2 linked regions of the Mytilus edulis genome follow. The protein of the gene in region 1 purifies or fractionates together with the protein of each later gene. This does not show direct contact. Links are inferred from orthologs where the notes say so. Each region holds a gene or a part of one and is shown in the gene's direction. Other genes may lie near its edges. The genes, in order: N-sulphoglucosamine sulphohydrolase-like and formylglycine-generating enzyme-like.

Region 1 (8,125 bases):
TCACACCACATCTTCCTATATCTATTGTCATTTTGGTCTTTTGTGGATAGTTGTCTCATTGGCAATCATACCACATCTTCTTTTTTATATTAAGTTAAAATTACCACCGACGAAGAAGACCAAAAAAGGGATATTTTCTTGAGTGTATGTGGGAAGAATACCTACAAATTAATAAGGGATTTATTAGCACCAGCCAAACCATTAGGAACGAAATCACTGGCCGATTTAACAAAACTAGTGAAAGACCACCGAGATCCAGTACCATCAGAAATCATTCAGAGATTTAAATTTAACAGTAGAACAAGACACAGCGATGAGTCAGTGAGGACATTTATTGCAGCACTAAGAAGTCTGACAGAACACTGTAAATATGGTGACACGTTATACGCAATGTTATGTGACAGGTGAGTCATCGGGATAAAGAGTCACCGCATACAGAGGAGGCTGCTAGCAGAGTTGAATTTAACATTTGAAAAGGCATTGGAAATTGCTACCACTATGGAGACTGCAGAGAAGAATGCACAGGACATCCAAGCGAGTGGGACAAATGCGACATTTCAGAAACAAATCAACAAAGTTTCAAAATCATATACAAGAAACAACTCTGGAAATTCGAAACAAAGAGATTGTTACCGGTGTGGAGGAAATCACTTAGCCGCTGAATGCAGGTTTATGGATGCAAAATGCCACAGTTGTAAAAAGAAAGGACATATCGCAAAAAAATGCCGTAACAAATCTGCCAATGGGAATTTAAGTGAAAATCACAGAGTTTAAATCACGTTTTAAACCACATGCTCATTTCATGGAGCAGGATGAAAGTAGTGAAAGTGAAAATGAACAGTCAAGGGTCTAACTTAAATAAGTTATCAGAGAAAAATAACATGCATGTGTTATTACAGACATTTTCATGAGTTGTCTACTCTTTACTAAACTATGAGCTGTTATATCTTTGCAAAGATTAGTATACATAAAGAAAATTATAATATTAATAGAATTTGAGAAAAATTTAACAAAATGAAGGTTGTATATTTTCCCTTTGAAACATGTAACATACATATGTTATCACAGTTTTTTTTATATTTTAGCCCACAATAACAACATGTATATTATTTATCTCTAATACCTTATTTAAGTTAGACGGTTTGACTGATGAAGTTTACTCAGTTTTTCATTTTGGAAATTAATCTAATGAGGCATATAAAGTGCAAATCAATGTGAATGAATGTGAAATAGCCATGGAAATAGATACCAGCACATCAGTTTCTATCATGAGCGAGGATACTTACAAGGATTACAAGTCGAACTTCAGAATCGAACCGACAAGTGCTAAACTCCGAACATACATGGGAGAGCAGATTCCTGTAAGTGCATGCAATCGTCAATGTCAATTACAAAAAGGAAAGCGCAAAATTACCACTTCTGATAGTGAAGCGTAAAGGTCCGAATTTACTTGGCCAAGACTGGTTGAACAAACTCCAACTGGATTGGAAGGATATTTTCTCCGTCGTTGGAAGTGATAATCAATCGAGTGATTTGAATGTGATCTTGGAAGCAAATAAGGAGGTTTTCAAAGATGAACTTGGAACTGTAAAAGGCATGAAAGCCAAGATTTATGTTGATGAGAGTGCCGTACCGAAATATTTATTAATTATTAATTATTAATGCCGTTTCAAAGTTTCAAACAAGCATATCAACAAATTGAACTTGATGAGGACAGTAAGAGGTATGTGACTATAAACTCGCATAAGGGTTTATTCAGATACAAATCATACAATAGACTTCGGTATGGTGTAGGGTCCAGCCCAGGTATTTTCCAAAGAACACTTGAAAATGTTGTTCAAGGTATCGCCAATGTGATGGTTCGAGTAGACGATATACTGATAACGGGTAAAACAAGGGAGGAACATCTAAATACTCTTTCTGAGGTTTTGTCTAGATTTAAGAAAATCAGAATTCGGTTAAAGAAACAGAAGTGTTTGTTCATGGCCAAAGAAGTTGTTTATTTGGGATTTAAAATAAACAAACACGGAATCTATCCAGTGGAGAGTAAAGTTGAGGCGATCGATAAAGCCCCAAGTCCAACAAACGTGACAGAACAGAAAGTTTATCTTGGAATGCTGAACTATTACAATAGATTCTTGGCGAGTTTGTCTCACTTGTTAAAGCCGCTACATGTACTTCTACAGAAAGACACAAAATGTAGTTGGGAAAAAGAACAGGAAAAAGCGTTCATAGAGTCAAAACAGTTGTTGAAATCCCCATCAGTACTTGTACATTTTGATTCGAAAAAGAAATTAATCTTAGCATGTGATGCATCTCCGTATGGATTAGGGGCTGTACTTTCGCATAAAATGGACGACGGCAGTGAAAAACCAATAGCTTATAAAATGTACATCGCGAACACTTACATCAGCAGAGAAGAATTATTCTGTTCTTGAGAAAGAGTGTCTGGCCATAATATTTGGTATCAAGAAATTTCATCAATATTTGTATGGACACCCCGTTACAATCATAACCGATCACAAGCCGCTCATACATGTGTAGGTTTATTTCGAGAAGATAAACCTATACCTACAATGGCAGCATCTAGCATTCAAAGGTGAGCACTGATGTTAGCTGCATATGAGTACACGATTGTATACAAAGAAGGGAGTCTGAATGGTAATGCGGATGGACTAAGTAGACTACCGCTGAAAACAAACATTGAAAAGACACCAACTCCAGGTGATACATGTACTATATTATTAATGGAACATTTAGCCACTACGCCATCCAGTTGATGCTAAACAAATTCAAAAGCGGATACGCAAGGACACAATACTGTCTATGGTGCTTAGATACATTTTGAATGAATGGCCGTCAAAATGTCCCAGTGAAGACATAAGACCGTATTATAGTAGAAAAAATGAACTGTGTAGTTAGCATGGTTAGGACGGATCCATATTATGGGGAGGAAGAGTACTTATATCACAACCAGGACGTGAAGCCATGTTAAATGAATTACACCAAGGACATCCAGGGATTACTAGAATGAAAAGTTTAACAAGAAGCTATATATGGTGGCCGGGAATGGACAATGACAGTGATTTGTTTGAGCCAGAAATAACTATACCAATAAGTACTCCTGAGACCTAACAACCGAAAATCGAGAAACTGTCAAACATGACTGAACAAATGGAACCACATTATCCGTAGAAAATAAGAAAAGAACCATCTCATTTAAAGAATTTTGTGTTCAAATAAATGGTTGATTTATAAAGAGGCATAATAATCCTTACAACCATTTGGAGTGCATTAAGTACTTCGCAGAGCATGTGTGTACATATCAATTAGAGTACGAAATAACAACAAGACCAGTGCGAACATTCTTATTTTTATTTTCATAGTAGGACATTATACATACATAGTTTCAGTGCAGACAAATTTTAACAAATGAATCTTTGTGATCTGAAATTTTTATTTGTTTTCAAACTGATATGGACTTATAATTATCAATCAGTAGCTGTGAAAAGACATTAATTTTCTGTACTGGGTAATTGAATTAATTTGTTTTTAATTTGTTTTTATCTAAGGCTGGAGAAGTGTTATAAAGTTCACCACACAGTGCACTTTATTACCATGTCATCTGTTACAGTAATTATAATTGACAGATCAGCAACTCTCACATGTCTGCACTTCTTAAATAAACATGTAATTACATTTGTGTAAAAAGATCAATTGAAGTTCTTATACACATGTTGTCATTCTGTAGTCTGACCATCAAAGATGTACTTGTTAATAAATTAGTTATAGAAACTTGATTGTATTATTACATAAGCAAATATATTACAGTTTTGAAGCCAACAGAGAGACAGAGCAGGGTGATAAAGGCGTAGGGATGGACGATAAATTTATATATATATAAATGAACTAAAATTAAAAAACATACAAGACAAGAGTGAACTGTCCTGTTTCACCAGGGGTCATTTGGAGGAAAACATGTCATTGGACATTGTGAATCGTCAATGCAAGATACACATGATACATTGTACTTGGGATTCCATGGTCTTACTTTTAAAATGCTTCCATTTTCTCCTCTTCTTTTGTTACAGAAAACCATCAACATACTGATGTTTACTTTCCGGCGCATGCCTGGTAAATGTTTTTTTTTTTAATAAATATGTGAATAATTTTTGTCAAAACATAGATTAACAAAATATTTCTTGTTCAAAGTTGTTTTTGGTCATATATTTGCGTATTTTCAATTTTTTACAATTTTTCTTTGTTTTTGATTTATGCAATTTTTTATTTAGTTTTAAATATTACATTTTTTATTTTTATTTTTTGGTATAAGATGAAAACAAGAGTATCTGTTTATTTCAGATGAGGGTAAGTATCAAGGAGCACATCGTGTGTGAGTGCATCCTTGAAGTTTTCTGTAGTAGTGTTTTTGGTAATTTCAGAGGATAGTTTGTTCCAGTCTTTGATGGTTTGACAGAAAAAAGAAAATTTATAGCTGTCTTTATTGCATTGAATTTGTCTGTAGGATTCTTTATTGGTGGATTTTACATGTTTCATATCATTTTTAATATCCTACAATATATTTTTTAGAACCATATGAGATTAATCAATATATGTGATTATTACAAACTAGTGTTTTTTATAGTTTTTTTTTTTATATAATATTAATAATAAATATGATGACGATAATGCGTATTTTCCTGTTTCTTCTGCATTAGCAAAAGTTATCATTTGAAATGCACCTATTTCAAACAAATGAGATAATAAGCCATCTAAACTTCTTAATGAATATTGTCTGCTTTACCTGAAATTGTTTAATTCTACGCCGACATCAATTTTTTCTCGCACCTGCAAAATCCAATGGTTGATTATAAATTAAGGGAGATAATTACAAGGGAGATAACTGCACAATTTCAGCATTAACGAAAATGAAAGTAAAAACGTTTCGAAATGGTTTTGTTACCACTTTTATCTTATTTCTTACAGTAGATTCTATCTCATCAAAGAACGTACTCATTATTATAGGTAAATCATTGTAAGATCATTGTAAAGTTCTGTTCTATTATTTTTTTTTAATTTTAAATATAGATATAGGCCTAGGGAGCTACCATTTGATTTTTATGGGGGGGCTAGGATGAAAAATTTTGTCCTGCATTTTTTTTTTGCTGTAATCTCTGTCCTGCCTTTTTATTTTTCACTCTGTTCGGTCCTGCCTTTTTTATTTTTAGTTTATCTTGACTTTTTTTTTACCTAAATTGTCGTCCTGACTTTTTTTTTGCAAGTGTCTCATCCTGCCTTTTTTTTTACTCAAAACTCCTGTCCTGCCTATTTTTTTCAAATTTCATCCTAGCCCCCCCCCCCCCTCATAAAAATCAAATGGTAGCTCCCTTAGATGGCTATGTACAGTATAGCTTTGTAAAACAAAAACAAAATTGTTCGCATCAGGCGAAAAAAGTTTCTGACTTGGACAATAAATTTAGCGTCAAGATATTTAGATTATAACATGTATAATGATTATTTGAAATAAATAGATAAAGAAAAAAATCTTAATTTGTGTGTGGTTTTATTTTTTAATATAAATGAATTTTCATTATTTTATGATCATGATGATTCAAAGAGCAATTAATGAACATGATGAAGAAGAAAATAAACATATGTTCAATTTTGTTCTAGAAATATTTTGTTTTTGTTTTCAAGGATCATGTTTAAATAGGTTACAGTTACAATGGTTACAGTTTTGTGTATTAATTAATGAATTGATGTTTATGTAGTTGACATGGTTGATATTTCAAAGCCAAAGGTTCAAACCAATCTCGTCTTTATTTAATTTACTAAAAAGGTCCATATATATATAAAAAATCAATGTACTGACCATTCCTATAAGGGGTTCTCTATTGAAAATAAAACTATTAACCAAAGACATTTGTAAATATTTATATGTCTTCGCTGTACACTGGGAACAGTATATCTATGTTCCTGCTGTACATAACAAAATTTGAAACTTTAGTTAAACAGCAAAGATTGGTTAAATCTACTTTAATTAATTGACTTTTCTAAAAATTTATGACATTAATAGAATATAAACTTAAAGGGATAGTAGCTACGATTTTGACAAAATTATGAACAAGTTTCAAAGCTGCTAAAATCAAAGATATGTACTAAATATAAGCAAATTGCTCAATTTGTATTCTTGTCACTTTTTTTCTTCTTATCATATTATAGATTTCTATAATGTGGATAGTAAGATATTAATGTAATGGTAAAAGTAATGTTATTTCAAATTATATTTTTATAAGGTCTGACAGACACCTGCTCATCGAGCTATATTGAGCCTTTTATAATCACTTGGGTTTCATTGGCTGTTAATTGTTCTTCATCGTCTCAGTCTGTTGGCTGTTAAACTTGTACAAAGATCATCTATGAAACTTAATAATTGCATGAGCCAATTTAAACTAAACTTGGCCACAATAATCAGGTATCAAGTTTAAAAAATGTGTCTGCTGACATGTCTAAAATTAGAACATAGTGGTAAAATGCAATTGTTGTCTGTTATTTCTTGAGAAACAGTAAATGACATATAAAGTCTAATAGGGCAAAACATGTGTAGGTGACAAGTAGATAAAATGTACTATCTGTCAAATGACTTTTTAGTAGAACTATTACACCCTAAAACTATGATTTTTCAGAGTTTATGCAGTTTTGCCTATTATCTTGAAATGTAAAAGATAGAATGTTGGATTACCAATAATGTTCTGCAAGGCAAGATCTACAAATAAGTCAACATGATCTAAATATTATTTGATTTCTTATTACTTAAACAGTCAGGGGTGCTACTAAATAAACAAGTGATTTCATTATAACCTATTTCAGTGATTTGATAAATTCACCTATTTTAGTGATTTTTGTGTTTCTTTTGATATTCAAATGCTAATTTCATTGATTTTCCATGTTTTCACAAACTTTTCTATAATTTTCTTACATAGATCACATTATCCCTTTTTCTATGGATATTAACTTCACCAGTGCGCTTGGGCAGTAAGTTTTCCATATTTTCACAAACTTTTCTATAATTTTCTTACATAGATCACATTATCCCTTTTTCTATGGATATTAACTTCACCAGTGCGCTTGGGCAGTAAGTTAGTGCGCTAAAGCTTTTAAAAGTACCCTTGGGAATTGTTCTGTAATCAAATATTCATTAACTACTCTGACTATCATGACTATCAGACAAAGGTCAACAATATTAGGTAACCTGGTTGGTTTTCTTTAAGAATAGAATGATATACTTCAAGGTTATATCCTGATCTACAAATTATTCCAGAAAACGCATGTTTTAAATAAATTGTAAAAACTGGCATTTAGGCTTATCAAGCAAAAGACAATTCCTATATGTATATAGTTAAGTTGTTTTTTTCAATGGAATTCTTGTCTTTTTACCAATAAAAAAATCAAGCTTGTGAAAAAAATATCAAGAAAAAGTTATAAACACTTATTGAAGTGATCTTCATAAATTACTTGTTTCAGTGATTTTAAAAAGTCTGTGTCTATTTATAGATTTTTTTTTAATATTTCACAGCCAAAATCACTTGAACAAGTGATTCTGAAATCACTTGTTTAAGTAGTACCCCTTGACTGTTACAGTGACTTGACTGTTAGTGTTGCTATCCACCAATTGCAACTCATTCAAAATTTTGACCAAATTGCAATTTGTTTTATAAAATCAAATTGTTCAACTGGTCAGAATATTGATCAAATTGTTCAGTCAAAATGTGAAAGTGCAAGGTGATAAAATAATATATACTTACAATCCTATAAGAGTTGTACTCCACTTTAATGATGTTATTACTAAATTTGTTTATCAATCTGTATAGTTATATTATAGCCATTACCATACTAAAGGTAAAATGTTTTATTTTGAATTGCTATAAAAATGTCCAAACTAAGCTTTTATATAGTTTTTCTTTCGAAAAGGATTTTATATTTATAAGAATCATATATCATTTAAAATAATACATCATATATTCAGTAAAATACGTGTGAAATAACAATATGCTATTGATAAGTTTCCTTGGGGAGATAACCTAAAATACTATACTTTTGAATAAAGATTTTTTGAAACCAAAAA
Region 2 (7,290 bases), on another chromosome or scaffold:
TTTCAACCTCACCATTTGGAAATCTTGGTTTAATAGCTTCCTTGTGAGCAGCAACCCGCTATCAAGAAAATCATGATAGGAAATGCAAGCAAGGGAATTTCGTATCAATTGGGAGATAAATACCCCGTATGCAGGTGCTGCTGGAATGTTGCTACTTAAAAATGGAAAGTTCACAATTGAAAACTGAAATCATCTCTTTTGTCGTAAAGTTTTGTTTTCAACCGACCCTCATTGTCAATTTCTAGATGTAAGTCAAGATATGAGGCCGACGTAACTGTATCTGTAGTATCCTTTATCTCTAGTTCGATGGGATAGATGAGTTCAACATAGTCACCAAATTTTGAATTATCTAGTGAAAGAACATCATCTATATAGCGGAAAGTAGAGTTCAAAGATATTCTGATCTTTATTCCTGAGAAGTTCCTGTATGAAGTCAGCCTCTAATAATAAAGAAACAAGTCGGCAAGAAGAGGGGCACAGTTTGTTCCCATTGGAATGCCGATAGTCTGTTGAAAAACACGTCCTCCGAACGTAACAAATAATTCTATCGTCAATCAATAAATCAAGCATCTTGATAATGTCAGTTTCAGAGAATTTTTTGTTTGAATCAGAGTGATCCTTTACAAAGTAGGATTTATCCTTCCTTAAGACAACATACTTTTATCTACGTTGGCCATTCTTTTTTATGAAAAAAAGCAGTACCAAATGCCAAAAGTGAGTGTAACAAGAAAAATATCTGTGAATGTTATTAGAAACTATTGCGTCAGGTCACTTCACTGCTGTTATATTTCTTTTTTTTTCTTCAGAGAAAGTGTAATCGCTCATTGTGTCAGATCAGTCGCTTTCATATCATCTGACTGTTGTTATACTAGTTTTTCAAAATGGGGAACACAACCAATACTAGTCGAACATGACTATTTATATGCTGAAAGTCCCCCTTACCCACCAGCTATGAAAACAAGGCACCTAACTACAACGGTTCCTGTGGAATATAAGAATATCACATACGGAAGAAGTACATATAAGAATATCACGTACAGACAAAATACATATAAGAATATCACATACGGAAGAAGAACATGTATAAGAATATCACATACGGAAGAAGTACATATAAGAATATCACATACGGAAGAAATACATATAAGAATATCACATACGGAAGAAGTACATGTATAAGAATATTACATACGGAAAAAGTACATATAAGAATATCACATACGGAAGAAGTACATACTAAGAATATCATATACGGAAGAAGTACATACATAAGAATATCATATACGGAAGAAGTACATACTAAGAATATCACATACGGAAGAAGTACATACAAACAATATCATATACGGAAGAAGTACATATATTAAGCGGATGATATTATATAAACCAGCTAGCCTTTTAAGATAGAGGTTTAAAAGGTTATTGTTTTTAAAATCTTATTAATGTTGAAATATTTATATATTTTTACCATACTATAAAATTAGATGGAACATGGCAATCTTTATACATTCTAAAGGCACATTTTATCAAATAAATACTTATTATTTTCTTTTTATTACTTTGACATTTACAAGTCCTTTTTAGAACACCTCGATAAAACAGAATATCAGTGTCCTCTGTTGTTTTTTCTAATCTTTTTATGTAAAAAAAAAAGTTTGTTTGATAAATAATTTCTTTCTTATTACTATATTGAATGTGTGTCTTCTTCTAAGAGACCTATTTGCAACGTACATGCACTAACCAAAACAGGGGTGCAACGGAAATGCACCCTGTTCATTGGTGTAGATAGATGATAACATTAAGAGACCAATTTAGCTGCATAAGATGCGCATTGCGACTATTAATTGAAGCAAATTTGTAAAAACAATATCCGTATTTAAACATCTGAGAAATCATCTGAAAAAAATACCAGATTTTTTGGCACGTCTTCTCTTCATATGTTCACACCATTTACAGAAGAATCTAACTAATTTATCAGAATAATGACAAATATTTGATTCACAGAAATTTTGATCGAATCTTATAAATGAAACGAGTAGAAATTATATATGATCGAATTTTAGTTGTAGTTCCTTATGTGGACCATTCTTGATGTCAAATCTGAACTCACCAAATAATTTTATATTACGAGAATTCTTGTGTTACTTAGAGTACACGTATCATTGATCGCAGGAAACATGTTCAAATAACTAATAAATCTTCTTTAGTTTCAGAAAACCATCAACATACTGATGTTTACTTTCCGGCAAAATATATTATACCAAAACAATGGGAAAAACAGTCCACCGACAAAGGTCTCGACCCAGTTGTATTAACATCAGAAATGATCCATTCAAACTATATGACGGTGAATTTTTGCCGATTTTAGACATCGCCAAAGACTAACATAGTTTACTTGCATTTTATTTATTTTTTAACCAATCCAGGTGGTCACCGCATACGGTTGACGGGTTTTGATTAGTTAAACCACGCCAATTCTTCTCTGGCATCCAGATATAGTGATAGAACGAGTAAAATATCAACAGAACCTTTTTCAAACGAATAGCGGTATTAATATAGTGTTTTGTATATTGGAACCGTGAGCTAGTTGCATGTCTTATTGGCAATCATACCAATACTCCGAATTTTATTTATATTCATAGTATCTTTAATAAAGAAGGCGTCTTATTCTGTTTTATTGTAAACATACCTTTTCATCAAAATTTTCATTTTTACTTCATGAAATATGAAAGGACAACGCGAAATCATGGCGCCACCATACTACTGATAGATTTAACTTACGAGAGTTTGGTTTGTTGGTATCCCTTTTTAGCCAGAAATAAATCCTTGGGACATTCAGATTGAATCGATAACCCTTTCTTATCATAATCTTCAGACGGTTTCACTCCAAGCGGTGCAACTTTTGCAAATTGTAGTTTCTTCATTGCGGTAACGTGGTCAAACGTCTTCTACTTATATGTAGTCATAGAGATTTCATTTTAACGTCATTACCATTGTTCAGAGAACTTTTCGTTAATATCCTACGCTTTTGTAGAAGACTTGTTTCTTTGTCGCATTTGGCTACCAATTAGGCGTGAGTTGGGGATGGGGGTAAGTTGGGTTACAATGAGTTTTAAGATTTTACAGGCTTCGCAAGAAAACGATGTCTAGTAATTGGTCTATTTTGTAATTCGTTCTGTCGCCAGTGCCATCAGTAACTGCAACAGTTTTTCTTTAATACTATTATAACTTAACTTTGCATTACAGGGACAGAAATTTCATTTGTGCCTCCTATTTTTGGCACTTTTGATGACTTTTTATTCATGATTTCTCATGTGTGGAACTTAGTCATGTTTGCCATTTGATATAGAATACAAAGATGTGTTATATGATTGCTAATAAGTTTATTAATTTTTCATAACTTCTAGGCTGGCGATATTTCTTGTCCGATTTGAATGATTTTTTTCTTCATTCAATACTGTACAGAAGTGTTTGTAGCCTCTTATAATGTACAGCTAGTGTCTCTCTTTTTCTCTCCACCCCACCCCAAACCCCCTAGTTATATATCCGTTAATTAACACGTATTATCATTATTACATTGCACAGAGATATGAATTTGCCCGCACACTTTGTAAAAAAAAAATCATGACTATAAAAGCAAAATGTCCATATTTGTTTACAAACCAGTTGTGGATCCAGGGAAAAGGGGGGTATTCCAGGGGTTGGAACAATTTCCTGAATGAAAAAACCATTTCAAAGAAGTATTTCTTTAGTAATTCTTTGACCATGTTGACTGATTGCCCTAAATTTCATTTTTTTTTACACCTTTCAAATGTCTGCTATTCATCTATAATAAAATATATTTGATACATATTGTTTAAAGCTGCAGTTATTTGGTTTTAAACAGACGTGTAACAACGGCGATGTGTCCCCCGTTGACAAAACATCAGGAAATTTCAAACACCCTTTAATCCACTGAACATTTCAAATGATTTTTCTCAAAACAAACACGTTTTAAAGCTAAGAATATTTTGCATTTGAAGTTATCTCTATATAGAAATGTCAGTATACTTCAAAAACATAAGGACCTGAACATAAACTGAAGATAACATGGAAAGATATGGCGAAAATGAGCACCCTACTCTACACTATCTGCCATCGAATCACCAATGAGTAGAAAGGTGTCCCGTAACTGGAAAATTATTCACAGAAGTAGAAGAGTAAACTTCTTTTATCTGGAGGTGCAATAAGTAAATGATATAAGCGACAAGTAGGATGAAGCAGACGCATTTGAGAACTGTTGTGTTGTTTGCATGTTTTTGTGCGTGTTATCTTGAAGAACAATGTGATGTCAAAGATGATAGTTGTAACAGTGCGAAGGAAAAATCGTGTGGTTGTTCAATTAGTCGTGACAAATCTAAATATGACGAAAAAATAAACATAAACGTGGACAGTGAAGACGAAGGTCTACAAAGTGAACTTTTGCAAAAAGATGATTTTAAGTACCAAAGGACTAACGAAATGGTTTTTATTGAAGGTGGAACATTCTCTATGGGCACAAATAAACCAATTTTTATGGTAGATGGAGAAGGTCCGGAAAGATTAGTTAAAGTTAACCCTTTCTACCTAGACAAATATGAAGTTAGCAATAGAGAGTTTGAAATATTTGTGACGAAGACAAATTACAAAACAGAGGTAACTGAGGAGAATCTTAAGCAGCAACCATTTGATTTTCTGGGGGTGGGGGTGGGGGGTGGGGGGGGGCTATGGATTTTTTCTGGACAAATTTTTTCCTTGCTATTTTTTAGGCGAGAAGTAGAAAACAATTTTTTTCTTTCAATTTTAGCATTACATATAGTGGCAGCTGAGGGTGAAACAAACAATTTTTTTTCTCAGGATCAGAAACAAATTTTTTTTTCTCCAAAAACTGGAAACAAACTTTTTATCCCAATAACTCCAAATGGCCTCTGGTCCAATCGCATATTTTATTCTTAAAAAGAACTCAAAAATGGTCTATGCTGAAAGTAGTCTGATATTACTTTCATTGTGACTACGACGTCCAATGGCTGTTTTGCCCTTCAAGCATTTTTGTAAATATGATCCTGTAAAGGGAAATTCAATAGTCCATTTGCCAATTAGTGATTTGATTCTGTTATACAGTGAAACCTGGGTAAACCGAACCCTGATAAAACCGAATTTCAGTTTAAACCGAACAAATTTCAAAGTCCCACAAAATTTCCCCATCAATTAACGTTAATCTAACCTGAAAAAACCGAACCCTGTCAACACCGAATTCCGAACGCTTTTTGAAGGCTCGTTAGTAAATTTGTATCTAAAAATTACCTGTCAAAATCGATCAATACCAATCAAATTATTTGCATGATTTAATTAAACAAACACAGGATGGCAGAGTATCCCCGAAGGTATTTGAGGTTTAATGAACTTGTGAGTTGTTATTACAAACTAATTAGCATGTCTGTGTGCATGTATAAAGTGATTTTTTTGTAAAGAAACGTTAAACTGGTCAGCTACCCCCATCGCCGATAATGACAAGAATAATTACGGCCACAAAATCGAAACTGCCATTCTGTAGCTAAACTGTTTAATTAAATAATAGTTTTAAAGACTTTCACTGGATTAAGAAGTCGTGCAACACAACAAGGTCAATGGATTTCGATTGCTGGATTCCCATTAGAGGCCCTATATACTACAATGTATTTGATTCGAATGCTCCCGAGGACTTCCGCTCGCTATTTAGCAACGATAAAGTCCGAGAATAAACTGGACCCCTGCTGTTGTTTCACTGTTATCGTGTGCCGAAGTATCAATCAGCGGGTGACCAGTTTAGTCCGAGAACTCGTGTGTACAATGACATTCCCGATTCAACTACGGAATCGTCATGTGACTGTGAATCTGAATTGGTCAGTGAATTAACGGATGAGAAAATAATTATAAAAAGCAAAATCACTCCACGTCGGACATCTCCCAACGATGAGCGTGATTGACAGAGTGGCGTTTGATTTATAACAAAAATGTAGCAAAACGTCTATCTTTTATCTTCTTTTATTTTTACATTTACATCTAAATCAACACAAAAAAAAACTGTCGGCTGTTGTGTCACCTATTATTCCTGCCAAAATTTTTTGGTGTCGACTTCCGTCTACCTCTACAATCCGAACACCTGTGAAAACCGAACAAAACGCAAAGTCCCGTGGGTGTTCGGTTTGGACAGGTTTCACTGTATTTACACACTTTTTAAACTAATTACTTCCCTTTGTCAATCGTAGACTGGTTCCATATCGGACAAAATCATTTTTTGCCAATGCAAAGCATGATGAATTGAAAGTTATGTACTGTGGCGGCAGTTTGATTAATTTTTCATGAAAAATAATTTCTGATATCAAAAGTATTTAGCTTAACAACAAATTGATGTATAATAAAAAGATATGAAAACCTTAAAAATTACTTACATTATGCACAGGTAAATTTGCTCTTTCTGCTAGCTCTCCATTGTTAATGAAAACTATTGTCCCTCATAAAGGAGACAACTGAAAAGGGGATCTCTAATAATAGGACCAATTACAGGAATTGGCAAATAGCCTATTGTAGAATTGTTTTTGTTTTTCTATTTTTAGGCTGAAAAGTTTGGAAATTCCTTTATAATGGATAAATATGTGAGTGAAGAAACATTAAAAAAAGTAAATCAACAGGTAAGCATGGTATACCAACAAGATGAACATTAGTTATTAATCAAACAGAAACTGTCTTCTATGGTTGTCCCATGCTTGCTTCTGACAATGAATGGAGTTTGTGGATTTGATCCCTAGTCTGCCAGATTAAAACTTGAAAGTAGCAACTCATGGTTGCTTCTATGATATAAAGCATGTAGCATTAAGAATTAATTAAGTCAGAGTAGATTTTTCAAGGAGACAGAATAATATCATGTAAGGGTAGGGTTACATAATATGTCTTAAAGCAGGCTTAACTTGTGAACTAACTAGCTGATTAAAAATCTGTAGTTCCAGTTAAGCACAAAACAGAATCCATATATATTTGACTCTATCATGTTTTTGTCCATGTACTGCATGTTATTGTATTTACCACTGGACGTTAAACACAAATTCATCTTCTTTTATTATATATAAAATAAGTTCTGTTAAACCTATCAGTAGAATGAGAGAAATTGCAACAATTTAATTATGTATCGGTACATTTTTTATAATTGATAAGAAATCTGAAAATTACGTTCTTTTTACTAAAACTCATCAATATACATGATGTAAATGCAACATAAGCATTTGATTTTAATAG

Evidence for each region.
Region 2: the proteins of N-sulphoglucosamine sulphohydrolase-like (region 1) and formylglycine-generating enzyme-like purify together in Homo sapiens (co-immunoprecipitation; 3 studies listed by BioGRID and IntAct, with this or other methods). This does not show direct contact. The link is inferred for Mytilus edulis from reciprocal best matches to the Homo sapiens genes SGSH and SUMF1.

Annotation. Positions count from the first base shown.
Region 1 is NC_092352.1:65,483,122-65,491,246, forward strand, and holds the start of N-sulphoglucosamine sulphohydrolase-like, read left to right. Parts: upstream 1-4,878; 5' UTR 4,879-4,928; coding exon 4,929-5,025; intron 5,026-8,125. UniProt on the Homo sapiens protein: Catalyzes a step in lysosomal heparan sulfate degradation.
Region 2 is NC_092344.1:86,298,742-86,306,031, reverse strand, and holds the start of formylglycine-generating enzyme-like, read left to right. Parts: upstream 1-4,126; 5' UTR 4,127-4,254; coding exon 4,255-4,674; intron 4,675-6,614; coding exon 6,615-6,689; intron 6,690-7,290. Other genes in the region: uncharacterized protein, read right to left, coding at 2,782-2,924.